Diceros bicornis minor: one gene and its partner. The protein of the gene in region 2 interacts with the protein of the main gene of each other region in a biochemical or structural test. Links are inferred from orthologs where the notes say so. Each region holds a gene or a part of one and is shown on either strand. Other genes may lie near its edges.

What was found. The genes of interacting proteins can lie anywhere in the genome.
Region 1: the proteins of NEDD4 (region 2) and TRERF1 interact in a test that uses a peptide from one of them, tested with the Homo sapiens proteins (2 studies listed by BioGRID and IntAct, with this or other methods). The link is inferred for Diceros bicornis minor from reciprocal best matches to the Homo sapiens genes NEDD4 and TRERF1.

The regions. Positions count from the first base shown.
Region 1 is NC_080753.1:23,087,184-23,094,210, reverse strand, and holds the start of TRERF1 (transcriptional-regulating factor 1), read right to left. Parts: upstream 3,059-7,027; 5' UTR 2,987-3,058; exon of another isoform or gene 1,912-2,986; intron 994-1,911; exon of another isoform or gene 872-993; intron 741-871; exon of another isoform or gene 647-740; intron 639-646; exon of another isoform or gene 439-638; intron 302-438; exon of another isoform or gene 283-301; intron 20-282; exon of another isoform or gene 1-19.
Region 2 is NC_080744.1:51,373,316-51,380,649, forward strand, and holds the start of NEDD4 (E3 ubiquitin-protein ligase NEDD4), read right to left. Parts: upstream 3,104-7,334; 5' UTR 2,728-3,103; coding exon 1,168-2,727; intron 1-1,167. UniProt on the Homo sapiens protein: E3 ubiquitin-protein ligase which accepts ubiquitin from an E2 ubiquitin-conjugating enzyme in the form of a thioester and then directly transfers the ubiquitin to targeted substrates. Specifically ubiquitinates 'Lys-63' in target proteins.

The DNA of each region.
Region 1 (7,027 bases), on a different chromosome or scaffold from region 2:
GGATGGGGGGCGAGCAGAGCTGATGGAGTAATTTCAATATTAATTTATGTCAGAGCCGCCTTCTCGAAGCGCTACTCACTTACAGTACTGCCCTCAGCCTGTAAACAAATATCGCTCCGCCAGGAAACATACTCCCCAGATGCAAGCCCCTCTCCCCAGTAGGGAACCTGGCCCTTCGCCCCCCCTCCACCCAATAGCGTGCTCCCCCACGCCCGGTAGGAAGCTCCCGGTTTCCAAAGCACCAACCCACCGCCTCTGCTACCACCCCAGCAAGAAACTTACTCGGTCCGTCTACGCCTCCAACCTCCCTCCAGGAAATCTACTCTCCATATGCATTCAACCTCCCCGCAGGAAATCTGCTCCCCCCTCCCCCCCTTCTATATACATGCACCCCTCCCTCTCCTCCTCCCCTCGCGCCCTCCCCGGCCAGAAACTTACTAGCGAGCTAGCGTGCAGGCTCTCCTGATCCTGGAAACTTACTCCCAGAAATAGCGCCCGCCAGCCCCCTTTCCCGGCCCTGCTCCCCTTCCTGCCCTCCGCCGCAAGCAACTCCAAACTCTCCGCATCCAGCCACTCTCCCTCCCCGGTGGAAATTTGCAGCGCGGGGCCGCGCGCGTGCATCCACCCTCCCCTTCAGGAAACTTACTCCCCATCTGCATGCACCGCCTCTCAGCCATCGCTTAGAGGGAAGGGGGTGTGCTAGGGAGACAGAAATACATATGTATCTCTTGCCCCTCCCCCGGCCGTAGCCCACTCGGGGCCGAGCCGCGGTAACCTGGCCTTACCTTTTGCATTGCTCCCCACCCTTGCCCCCTCCCTTAACCCTCCTTATCCGCTCCCCGGCGCCCCCCTTTTTTCAACCATTACCCACCCCTAGCAACCGTTCCCAAGCTCCTCTCGGCCTTTTTTTTTTTTTAATCCAGGATGCAAATTCCTCCCCTGTCAGCAAATCGACTGTCAAATTATTTTCTTGCAAAAGGAGAAAGGCGGGGTGGGGGGGGGAGCAGAAGCAAAAAGGGGGGAGGCCGGGGGAAGGGAGAGAGAGGGACAGAGGAGGGGAGAGATATCCCTCCGCAGAGCTGGGTCTGGCGGGGAAGCAGGAAGTAAGGTGTCCAGCGCCGCGGCCGGCCGGTCCTCCGCCGCGGCCCCCGCCCGCGCCCCCTGTTCCCCGGGGCGCCGCGCTCCGGCGCAGGCTGCCCTGCGCATTGTTAGCAGCCTTCCCCGCGATGCGCTGCCGACCTTATTTGTGTGCTCTGCAAGTGCGTGAGATTGCACCTTTTGTAGGCTGGCGAGACTCTGTTCAAGGATGGGGCGGGGGGCGCGGACCGAGTTGCAGCCCCGTGTAGGACCTGTCAGCCCCGGGGTGTGGCAGACTCTCCGGGGAGGCCGGAAAATTGAGGCCCCGGAGAAGCGGCTTGGCCGGGAAGCTGCCGTCTTAGACCCGTACCAGTGCAGGATTGCTTCCTGCGTAGCCGTCCCGGTTATTGTAACGCGCTTTGCAATCTGATGACTAGGGTTTGGGGATTTCTTTATTTTTTTAAAGGGGTTGCAAAGAAGCCAAATTCTAGGGGGGCTGCGGGGAGACGGTCTGCGCCTACCCCCCACTGCACCCCGGCCTCGGTGGGGCTGGGAGAGGGGCTGAGGCTCCGGGGAAGGAGCTGGAGGTTCGCGGAGCGCGCGGCTTCTTCCCTCCGCCCCGATGGGGGCGGGGAGGGGGTGCTGCATACGGCGCTGGAAATGCCGCTCCCTGGGGAGGGGTCTCCATCTCGGCGGCGCAGCAGGCCGGGGAGGGAGGTTGCCTAGGAGAGGGGCCGGGGCCGGGCGGCGGAGGGGAGGGGAGGGAAGGGGGCGCGGGTGCCGCCGCGGCGCGCGCTCGCCCCTCCTCGCGCGCCATGACTGTGGAACGTGGTGCCGGGGAGGAGGGACGGCCGCCGGGGGCCGCCCGGGGCTGCTCGGCATTGGTGCGGAAACCCGAGCCGGGAGTCGCTCCTTGCGCTGTCTCCTCCTTCTCCTCTGCGGGGGAAACCGCTGCACCCAAACCGAGAGCAGCTGCGAGCAGGGGGCAGGGCGCGGGCTGAAAGGCGAGCCAAGGGTTCAAACCTCGGCGGCGCCAGGGGGGTGAGAGCAGGACAGCCCCCAGGTCCCGCGAAGGCGCGGCCGCCCATCTGTCCAGCCCGGGACCCCACACCTCTTTCCTGGTCCGAGGAAACGTGAACCAAAGATGGTTCGGCTAAACAGACCACCTCCAGCCGGGTTCGAGGCGTCTATCTCATGGAGGGCCCACAAGACAGCGAGGTTTTTTCTCAAAGGAAAGTTAAACCATGCTTTTTCTCAGTGCAGGGAAATCGTTGCGCCCCTTCCTCCAAATCTCGCGCGGGATACACAAGGTGCTTTCGCTATCCGGACCTTCGCCACTGTCCCGCGCCCCACCCCCATTCAGGCGCTGGGTGTGGACAGGGCGGAGGAAGGCTATATGGGAGCTTAAAGCATGAGGTCATGGGCGGAGGAGAATGCTGCCAAAAGCGGCCGAGGTTTTTGTGTATTTTGAGGGGTAACGGTTCTCCATCTTCAGCAGTGGTAAGTTTTCCCGCATAAGCCTCCCAATTCTGGGGCACCTGGACCAGAAGGCCCCCGAAAGAGGAGGGAAGTCTGGGCTATTTCGCTCAATGAGCGTTTGGCCGGTGCCCAGCCCTTTACGGGGCCCTTCCATACAAGCAAAGAAAGTCGAGGGACAGCGCACAGTGTCGCGGGGACCGAGAAAGGCTCAGATGCTCAGTCCCCGCCCCCCACGCCTTTCCTCAGTCCTCGGTCATCTTCCAACCCGACTGCTTTCTGTGATAGCCTCCTGCCTCCCTCGGACCCATTCTTCCCAAGCGGCTAAAGGAGTCTCTCTAAAACTCCTGATTACACTCCTTCCAACCCCTCCCAGTTGCTCTTAGAATAAAGCCAAGCTCTGAAGGCCCCGCGTGATTTCGCCTCTACAGACCTCTCCACTCTCACGGCTCCTCCTATACTGTAAGCCCGATGGTGCTTCTTTGTTCTGTGGTGTGGGGACGGGGGGGGGGGGGGGGAGGCTAAGCCTTCCCTCTTCACCTCTTCTTACTAACTCCTGCTAGACCTTCAGGACTCAACTGTCACTATCTCCAAGAGGCCTTCCTAAAGATACAATCTCATCTCTAACTCCCTCAGAGGAGAAAGACCCACCCTAGACCTCAGGGCAGGCAGGCTGTGGCCGGAGCTGGCCCCAGTGGCGGCCCTTTTCCCAGCAGAGGAGGAATAGCCAAGCTTGAGCCTTGACCTCCTGAGAGGGAGTTGGCTGAGACAGAACCTCAAAAACCCGGTTTCCTCAAGAGACCTGGGAAAAGCAGCGCACCGGCCAGAAACCTCAGCCTCTCCACCTCTCACCCCCAGCACACACCCACACAGGTAATGCAAGGAGAGGTCTTTCATCTGAAGCTCCTCCCTGGGGCAGATAAGGAACCTGAGGCTAAGAGGGAGAAAGTAAATTACCCAGGGCCAATGCAGAAGTTCACACACTGGTCTTTCCTCCTGCTAAACCAGACGTTGCTGAGAAGGAAGGATTTGGGACCCAAGGTATGGCTGCTACACAGCCAAGGACGCTTGTGTCACCTTCAAAGGACCCCTACATACTTGGCCCACTGCCAACAGAGAGGTAGTATTGCCTACTGGTTAGCCTGCAAGCTCTGGCCTTGGGCACATTTCTTAACCTCGTTTGGTTCAGTTTCTTTGCCTGTAAAGTCTGAATCATGGTACCTAGAGTGTAGTGTTATTGTGAGTTAATATATGTAAAGGCCTTAGCACAGTGTCTAGGCAAGTTCTTGATTGTTTGTGAGTGGGGTTATGCACCTCCTCCCTTCCTAAGGACTCTGAAAAATCAAGGCCCCAGAGTCTTAAGTGATTTTAGCATCAAAGATGATCTATGGCCTAAAAAACTGGGAAAGCGCAGATACATGCACAGACAGTACATACAAAGACCTTATTTAGCCAATAGATTCAGCCCTCAACAATGCATATGCTTGAAGACAATCCCCGGGTGAATAATCCCCAATCTGTGAGCGCTGGTTCTGGGCTCTTAGAATGAGTGTCAGAGGAAGGATAGCTGAGATTAAAATATTCCCTTGGATCTTTGAAATCAGAGTCAGGCTGAAATAGTCCCAATCCTGGTGCAGAACCTGCCTTGTATAACTGAAGCCCTCCTAGGGCTACAACAAGTATAAAGGGATTATTATTATTATTATTATCATTAGGTCCTAGTCTTCCCATTCTCAGCACTGACCCCCATGGTAAAAGAGTCTTTTTAATGCAGTTCATTTTTTGGGATATGTTTAATGCATTCACATGGTTCCAAATTTTAAAAAACGTAGAGGGCCGGCCCCGTGGCTTAGCGGTTAAGTGCCCACGCTCCACTGCTGGCGGCCCAGGTTCGGATCTTGGGCGCGTATGCACGCACTGCTTCTCCGGCCATGCTGAGGCTGCGTCCCACATACAGCAACTAGAAGGATGTGCAGCTATGACATACAACTATCTACTGGGGCTTTGGGGGAAAAAATAAATAAAATTACAATAAATGAATAAACGTAGAGAAGTCTCCCTCCCACCCTCTCTGCCACCTACCAGTTTTCCAGCTGAGGCCTGGGGAGAAGCCCTCAGATGCCTATTTAAATCTTTATGTCCAGGACTCCCTTCTCCAATCCAGGCAGAATCACCACCCTACTCCTACCCCTACCCCTGCCCTCCCCACCCCTTCAGCCTGAATCCTAAACAGGTTGTATTAACAATGATGAACCACCGTTTCCTGAGCTACCGACAAAAGCAAACAAACCCTTTGTGGTTCGTTCTCCTCCTCTACAGTTATTGAGTGCTTTCTATGGACCAAGCACTGTGCTAAGGACTAGACATGCCTTATCCTATTTAATCAGCCCCAAACCATCCTCATTATCCTTATTTTACAGATGCAGACAAAAGTGGAGGATCAGAGAGATGACATAACTTGCTCCAATGTGTATCCAGGCCAACCTGAGCCCAAATCCTCTCTTAACCACTAGCCCTCTTGCCTCCCTGCAACACAGGGAAAATTCTGGTGGCCTGATGGGGAAGAAGTAGAATGGAAATCTTTGGACTTAGGCAGACCTTAACTCTGGGTCTAGACTCCACCAGCAATGAGACCTTGGGGAGGTTTCTTAACTTCTCTGAGCCCCAGCTCTCTAACCTGTGAACTGGGACCACACATTCTTCATTGGTTTAATGTGAAGGTCCAATGCTTATAAATAAGAGCTTTTAAAATGCCTAGTAGACCAAATGCAATATTTAGATCTTGTGTGGCTCTGATTTGAGTAAACCAATTGTTAAAAAGACATTGTTGAGACAATCAGGGAAATAAAATGTGGACTTGATATAGATGTTAAGAAATTATTAATTTTGTTAGATGTGATAATGGCATTGTGGTTATGTTTTTTTTTTAAGTGCTTATCTATTAGAGATGCATAATGAAGAATTTGGGGTGAAAGTATGTCTAGGATTCATCTTCGATTACTCCAGCCCCCTCCCCAAAAACTGGGAGATAAATAAAACAAGATTAGCAGAGTGTGGGTATTTGTCGAAGCTGTCCATTTTACTATTCTCCCTACTTCTATTGAATGTTTGAAATGTTTCAAATAAATCCAAAATAAATTTAAAAGTAAAATAATTGTATTTTAAAGCATTCAAATGTAAAATTTCAGGCTTATTCAATTACGATAAATTGTTATCAATAATTATAAATATAAAAATATAATTTTTTGAATTATTGAAATACAGTCCTGGCTTCTGGTAGGTATGCAAAAATGTTTTGTTACTGTGAGACACTCAAGGCAACACCTGCATCTGGCAGGTAAACCAGGAAGGGGGCAGAGATGAACACTGCAGAGAGCAAGGTGGACAGGTAATTGTTAAGGACCCATTCAACCACACCAAGGACAATGTACAGTAAGGTAAATGACAGCAGGACTGGGTGACAGAGGAACGGGCAAATTAAAATTGGGGGCAGGGGCCAGCCTGGTGGCACAATGGTTAAGTGCGCACGCTCTGCCACTGCGGCCCTGGGTTCTCAGGTTCGGATCCCGGGCGCGCACTGCTTGTCAAGCCATGCTGCGGCGGCATCACATATAAAGTAGAGGAAGATGGGCATGGATGTTAGCCCAGGGCCAATCTTCCTCAGCAAAAAGAGGAGGATTGGCATCGGTTGTTATTTCCCTGAAGATGGGTGTCTCAGCAGAGCCACCTCAAAATTGCATGGATTAGAAATCTGATGCACTGGGCGAAATTCTCAACTGTGTGCTTACCCGTTCTGTCACCCAGTCCAGAATCATGGCTCTGCATTCCCTCATTTGTCCTTAGGGTGCTAGACCTCTCTGGCCCCTTCCAGCTGTCCAGGACTGGAAGTCTAAGGAATGCTGTTGGCTTTGACAAGAGAAGGATCATTTCTGAGGTCACACTGGTTATTTGCTTATCTCAAGAAGAGAACATAGCTGAATGGAAATGGAGATAGAGCCAATTCATACGCAAATGAAATCTTTTAGGCCCACTGAGCATTTGGGTTTTGTTCTAGGAGTAATTTTTCTGTGTTCTGGATTCAAACTGCTGAAATTTTATTTATTTATTTACTTACTTACTTACTTATTTATTTATTTTTTGGTGAGGAAGGTTGGCCCTGAGCTAACATCTGTTGCCAATCTTCCTCTTTTTGCTGAGGAAGATTGGCTCTGAGCTAACATCTGTGCTCATCTTCCTCTATTTTGTATGTGGGACACCACCACAGCATGGCTTGATGAGCAGTGCATTGGTCCACGCCCAGGATTTGAACCTGCAAACCCCGGGCTGCCAAAGCAGAGTGGTGGAACTTAACCGCTGCGTGACCGGAATTATTTTTACGGATGACCCCATTTTGAAATGAAAGTTTGTCCTCTTTGAGAGAAAATTTGCATTTCAGAGAAAAGATGAGACAATATATTTGGTAACTCATCAAAGA
Region 2 (7,334 bases):
CATCTGGGCCTTGGGTAACAATGATTATATTTATCAGATTTCAAAAGAGAGAAAACAAACTGGCAATTACTTAATATTTTATTTACTTAAAGCTACTTGTCCAGAAGTTTTAAAAAAATCTTTAATATAGATATTAAGTGTTACATAAACACAGATAAGTTTTTTTCCCCCAAACTATTAGGTACTGTCATTTAGTACTGGTTTAGTCAGAAAAATTTCTTAATTTCCTGAAATCTGGCAAGACTTTCCAAATACAGAAATTTAAAAAATCTATTTAAATTCAAAACGCTTAAAATACTCTGGAAAGGCCAAATTACATAAAGAGCTGTTCTAGTTAAGAGTCATTAGAGTCAAGTTACTAATATAATAAAGCAAAATTATCAAAATAAATTTATAAGGTAGCTAGAAAATTAGGGGAAATGCGTAGCAATTGAAACCAAATTGAAAAATATAAAATTTAGAATTCAATATCCTTCAAAGAGTGAGTTACATTTTAGATAGCAGTCCTAACGGGTAGCTAAAGAAAAATAGGGTGGAAACAAAATTCCTGTGGTTAAGGTATATACAAATGCAAATACCATTTATTTTTCCTCTGCTTTAAACATACAGCATAATAGCTTTTATCAATAATCTAATAAATACGTGTATTTTAGAGAAACACTTTCTCTATGTTCATTTATAACAAGTTTTTCCCATTTTTATATGGGCTTTTTATTGTTTAATATTTTAAATTAGCATCCTATATTTCACTTTATTTCACAATGATTAAGGAGGGGAGAACACCAAATGAGCATTTTTGAAAGTAGGAATAAATATGGAGTTAGACATTAAAATACTATGCCACTTAAAAAATATACCAAGGTAAAATGTTACAAAATAAATTATTATTTAAAGCTTATTTTTATGCTACAGAAATGTTTTATGGCTTAAATCACTTTGGAAAGTTATTTTTTTTAATGCATATTTTCTATATTGGTAAAATAACAGAGTGAAAAACTATTGGGGATTCTTCAGATTTACAAATATAAAATTCATGACTACAGAATATTTGCTAGCTAAGGACCAGAAAAGTATATAAAACTACTAAGTTATAATAAATTTTAAACAAATATTTCATAAAGCTATTCTAGTATAAATTAATATTTACTGAGACCAGAGGAAACTTACCTCACAAGAATGCTTCAAAGAATTAGACAGTTCATTTGCGAAATCTCTGTTGCTGTCTCTCGATAAATTATTAACTTTACCTTCACTTCCAGATGCAAACTTTATAAGTAATTGAGATGGTCCCCCCTTACAACAATTGTGCTTAAGGCTGGATAAACAGGAAACATTTGGATAAGTTCCTCCCAATGAAATACTTCTTTGTAAGATAGCATGGTTTTTGTTTATCTGTGAATTTGGTCTTTCCAACTGTCCATTGATATTTATTTGATAATCTACATTTTGGGAGGATGGTAAACATGCAGATGTTCTATGCATAAGCTTAATATACTCTGAACCAGAATTAAGCTTAATTTCTGACATCTCTGGTTTATAATCACCATTTGCTGTTTCACAATCTAATGTAGTTTCTTTTTGTTGGGTGAAATGCACTGAAACACAAGAATATCCTTCAGATGACTTTTCACAGACAGTCTGATTTGGACTATTATTTGCAACAACCATTTTCTTTTGTAATGAGCCCTTCCCGTGAAGTGGTCGTATGTCTCTTCCTTCTCCAGGAGCACAGATTGTTTTAGATAACCGAAGTCCGTTGACAGCTGTTGAAAGAAATCCCTTTGCACTAGTACCATCTTCATTGTGGGCAACTTCACTAGGAGAAATAATAAACTGGTGTGAGGTTTGATAGGATCCTTTGCTTGGAAGAGTACCTGTATTTGTTGGAGAAGTTGGTGGAGTATTTGAAGGACTCCTAGGAAAAATGACTAAGGATGAACAACGTTTTAGTGGAATTTTCGAGTTCCTGCTCACTGGCAATTTCATAATCTCTAGTCCATGCTCCAAGTCATCTTGGACAAACGGAACTGTACTTGTACTTCTTGAAAAAATTTCACATGGAGTAATATTCCTGTTTGGCACACTTCTATTGGAGGTGCTGTCCGCAGATAAATTTCCACCAAAAAAAGTATCATCAGTTGGTGTAAAAGTATAACCACTGCTGTCACTGAGGATACTGTTGGTGTATGAACCTCCACTTGTGATACTCGTGCATGACCCATAATCACTACCGTTGCTGCTGTAAGACCCATTCTCACTGGCTGAAAAGTTACTAAGGCTACCACTGCAAATGGCAGAACTGCCTAAAAGGTTACCATCATTCACAGCATTCAGTTCATTATCAACCTCAGCAATGCTGTAAATGCCTTCCTTCAAGACACAAGCAAATGAAGCATCATCGCCATCAGCTAAGACATTGCTAGACTGAAGACATCCACTGTACCTTGTTGGCTGTAGTGAAATCTGTAGACAGCTGCTCTTTTTATTAACATTTTCAGGTGAAGGAACAGATGATCTTTCCCGAGACTTAACGTTCTCCTTTAAGAACGGAGCTAGCGCAGTCTGTCTGGGAGTCAGCTTCATTTGAACAACGTTAGACGTTGAAATCCGTGTTGGTCTTTTGAAGCACATGTGAACACTGCTATCCAAATCATCTCCGGAGGTTTCTGACAAAGGATAAGTATTGCTTCTTCTGGCTGCAAAGTGCAATCGTAAGCTTTGTGCCATTTGTTCTCATTTCCAAACATGTTAAGGGCTAAAAGTCATAACAAAGATCTCTGTCTGTAGACAGGCTAGAAGCAGCTGCACTGCACTGAAAGAAAAAATCATTTGTGGTGCCTAAAAGAGCTCTTAAGTAGTAGTCTTTATCCTAAGTAAAACATTAGATACCAGATATCACAGAAAGAAAAAGACGACCCATTCCTGAGACTGACGTTTCCAAAATGTCTTGAATCGCTTGTAGTCAAAATGCCTTCACTTACAAAGCACTTGATTTCCAGCGACCTTTAAGCTGAGCTCAGCTGCAGCACACTGCCTCAAACACTGCCAACCTTGTTTCAATTATACCTTCTCCAATTTGCATGAATGAGTAACACAAGAACAACAATCTTCTAGCATTTCAAGTTGAAACAGTATTTTTTCACTCCAGCTCTACTAAATGAACATTTAACCATGTGAATCACGGTGCCTATACTTTCTCCAGCTGAGTTTGACCACTAATATTTTTACCCATAGGGATAGAATTACAGGAAGTTGGTAGGAACGAAACCCCATGTAATTGAGTATCAAATAAAGGATTGAATTTCCAAATAGTAGCCACACTAGGAATCTAGTCAAGTTAGTTAATGTAGAAAGGAATATAGACTTAAATTTTTTTTAAATGAGTAAGTTCAAATAGTTGTATAAATTTGGAAATACCAAAACTTTGGAGTGAATTAAAACTTTAGCATTAAATCAAATAGATAAAGATAAATATTTTAGCTTCCAAAACACTACTTATAAAAAGTGAACGCTTAAGGATAGAAATACAAAATTAGCCTAGTAATACAATTGCAAAAATCGAGCACACGTCTGAGAAAAAAAAGTTAAAGAGAAGCTGTCACCAGGCATTTTCTCCTGTAATTTTAAGGCCTTTTCCAGCCAAGTAGTACAGTCTTTAAATGATGCCATTTATATTTTGACTATCACAACTCTGCCAAAAAACAGCCTAAGCAAACATTCCATTAAAAATATATGCAGATTAGACAGAAAAACTATACCCCAATGTAGTTTGAGCACACAAGATATTTTATTCCACTGTCTCTGCAATTCATTCACTTAAGAGTGTTGTGGTAAGTAAAGAAGTCTAAAAAGGATTTAACACATCAAATAAACATATCTCAATGCCAATTCTGTTCTGAAAAACTCTAGGAGCTCTTTGCTGGCCCCTACTGGTGCTTTGAAACAATCCATTTAGCTGTTTGATATCTACAAAGAAATAAAAACCATGCTGCGTATTTCTTTATATAAACAAAGTACACACTTGTTTACATTTTTGAGTACTAGCACTGCCCTAGAGGTGGAATTCCTTACTACTACTGTTGATAAAGCTCCCACAGCAGAGAACAGTAGACTGTTTGTCTTTTTAGAGGTTGTGATTTTGTATATATATATTTTCTGCTTTGTATTTATTTAACCTTTACTTTATTTTCAGTTTACTAGGTAATAAAAGTTTAATATTTTAATTTCTCCCCCACATGTCATGGACCAAGGTTGGCATTCTATTTGAAAGAAACAAATTTATTTTTAAATAATACTCTAGGGTATATTTAAACCCCTTACCTGAATTTTATAGCTGGAACTCCAGTAATAAATATATACTGGCTCATTCATAGGAAAGTAAAGTAAAATAGTTCAGTTGTTTACACCACATGGTACTACACCCAAGTTGTATTTTTCTAGGTAAGTTTTTTTTTCCTAAGTAAAAGCAAATATGTAAAACATATACTTGCACTTTGTTTAAAAAAAAAAAAACTCCTTAAGATAAATCTGTTTTCAATCACAATTTTCTAAACAGTATTTTTAATCAGTTAAGACATGGCCAAATAGAAACATGGGATTTATTAAATTATATTTCCGACTAGAATGATAGTAGTATGTTTTTGAATGTATAATTGTAAACTGAGTAATAAAATTATTAGTTATTTTGGTTTTGTATAATTTCTCTCTTTTATGATTTTACACACTTCAGTAAATATTCCCTTATCATCCTTTTTCCTTATAGAAGGAAGAGTCCTAATCTTTTCATTTTACCTTCAAATGACTTCAACTTTCCTTCTTGAATTAAGTTAGGGGTCTGATAACTCAAAGAATGGATCATTTCTAAGAGGCTAATCAATGAGCTAGTCTAACTGCTCACGCCTGTGGCCTAAAACTTTCAGTTAATAAGCAAAGCTCCTCAGGTTGTTAACATAAAATAATGAACCCCAGGTATTTGGCCAGATAAAAGTTTTCTCTTTGGGAAGCTCCTCTATAAGCGTCAGTTTCATGTCCCCTAACTAGATTTTAAGCTTCCAGAGTAGGAGGACCATAACTAAACATTTCTTCTGATCCTGCTGAGCTCATGCTGGCAACACAGTGAGCACTAGGTAACAGCAGAGCAGAAGTTGGATAAACGGATGGATGGTCACTGCAGTTACTCTGACCTCCTAACGCTTTCAGAATTTTTTTAAAGTTGATCCAGCTACCACTTCTAAAGAAAAATCAAAAAACATTGCAGCTGGACCAGAAGGAATGATGCTTGAAAAATTTGCAAAGAGGGCTTCAGCCAAGGAAAAGTGAGGTAAGAATCATATGCACTTCCTAGCACTCCAGGCTGAGTTTAAATTCTAGAGGCTGAGCAGTTTGCTTTGCTGGCTCTGGTCTGGGATTGCACAGGATCTGTACCACCATTACAGCAGTTATGTGTAGAACCTGGGGTAAAATGTAGCCCCTTGGCCAAAAAGATGCCAAAAGAGGAACATCAACCCTAACTTCAAGAGGAGAAGAGCTGGAGACTGCTGGCAGCCCTTATGTGGGAGGAATGAATGCATAATGTCTTAGGATTAGATTGAAGCTCAGGACCCCACATTCTGAGACGTTTGGTTACTGATTATCTACACAGAAAATAATGTGATTATCTACATGCTATGGATAGGCTCTGGATAACCCTAATCATTGACTAGATCTTTGAAGGCCAAAGTCCACTGTGATGATTAATTCTATGTGTCAACTTGCCTAGGCTATTTTGCCAGTTATTTGGTCAAACACCAGTCTAAATGTTGCTATGAAGCTATTTTTTAGATGTGATTAACACTTAATTCAGTAAATTATGAGTAAAGCAGACTGCTCTCCATAATGTGGTAGGCCTCATCCACTCACATAAAGGCCTTAAGAGCAAAGACAGGTTTTCCAAAGAAGCAACTCTGCCTCAAGAGTACAATAATGAAACCCCGCCTGAGTTTCCAGCTTGCTGGCCTGCCCTGCAGATTTCAGACGCAAGACTGTAACATCAACTCTCACCTGAATCTTCAACCTGCCAGCTCTGCCTCACAGATTTCAGACTCACTAGCTTCCAGAATCATGTGAAGCAATGCCTTAAAATAAATCTCTCTCTCTCTCTCTCTGTGTATATGTATATCCCATTGGTTCTGTTTCTCTCCAGAACCCAAATACAACCACTAAACCTGAGAAGCATAGCATCTCCACTCGGGATAAAGAATACAGGCATCTCCCAAACTTCAGAGGCTAGATGTGTGCAGGTGCAGCTCTTAGGTAGTGACACAGAAGCACTAACTTTTGCATTAATGAGCAGAACTCATTTAAAGGCACAGCATCACTATCAACACCACTACCACCACTATCACCATAACCAAACTACTATAGTTTCTAACTCTCAGGTTCTTAAAATTGGCTGAAAAAAAGGAATTTAAGCCTACTCTTTCTCGAAACAAATACCACTTACATTGCAAATGTTTTCCAGATGACTAGAAATTGCTTCTGCTTAAAATTATATCTGTGCTCTTCACTGTACATTTCCAAAGAGAATTTTCTAGGAAAAGGAGACATTCTTAATTCAGTTGTGAATGCTACAGGAGAATAAAGATAAAATGACATTTACAGTGGCATAGGCCATTTATTGCTATACAATCAAGCCTGTTACTCCACCAATGGCTATAGTTTCTATCACATCTCAGGTGATCTGTACACTTCAATCACCTGCTAGAACTAGCAACAAATCAGAGGATTAGAGTGACACACACTGCCCTGTTCTAATCATTTCTTGCTCCCTTTTGCTAGTAAAGTGAGCTTCTTGAGAAAAGCTATAGTGCTAATGCACAGGAAAGTATCTAACATAGCAGATACCCTAAATAGCATACCTCAGTTAACACAAAAAATACAGTATCAGAAAGCCATAAACGCATGAGTCCATGAATGTTAAATAACGCTTTATATTTGTATCACGATGAAATATTTTTGGAGTGCTTTGATAGCCGTTATCTTGCTATATCCTCACAATACATTTATCAGCAAATATTATTATCCCTTTTTTTTTTTTGGTGAGGAAGATTAACCCAGAGCTAACATCTGTTGCCAATCCTCCTCTTTTTGCTGAGGAAGATTGGCCCTGAGCTAACATCTGTGCCCATCTTCCTCTATTTTACAGGTGGGACGCCTGCCACAGCATGGCTTGGCGAGCAGTGCATAGGTCCGTGCCTGGGATCCGAACCTGTGAACCCTAGGCTGCTGAAGCAGAGCATGCAAACTTAACCACTATGCCACTGGGCTGGGCCTCCTATTTTTTAAACATAAGAAAA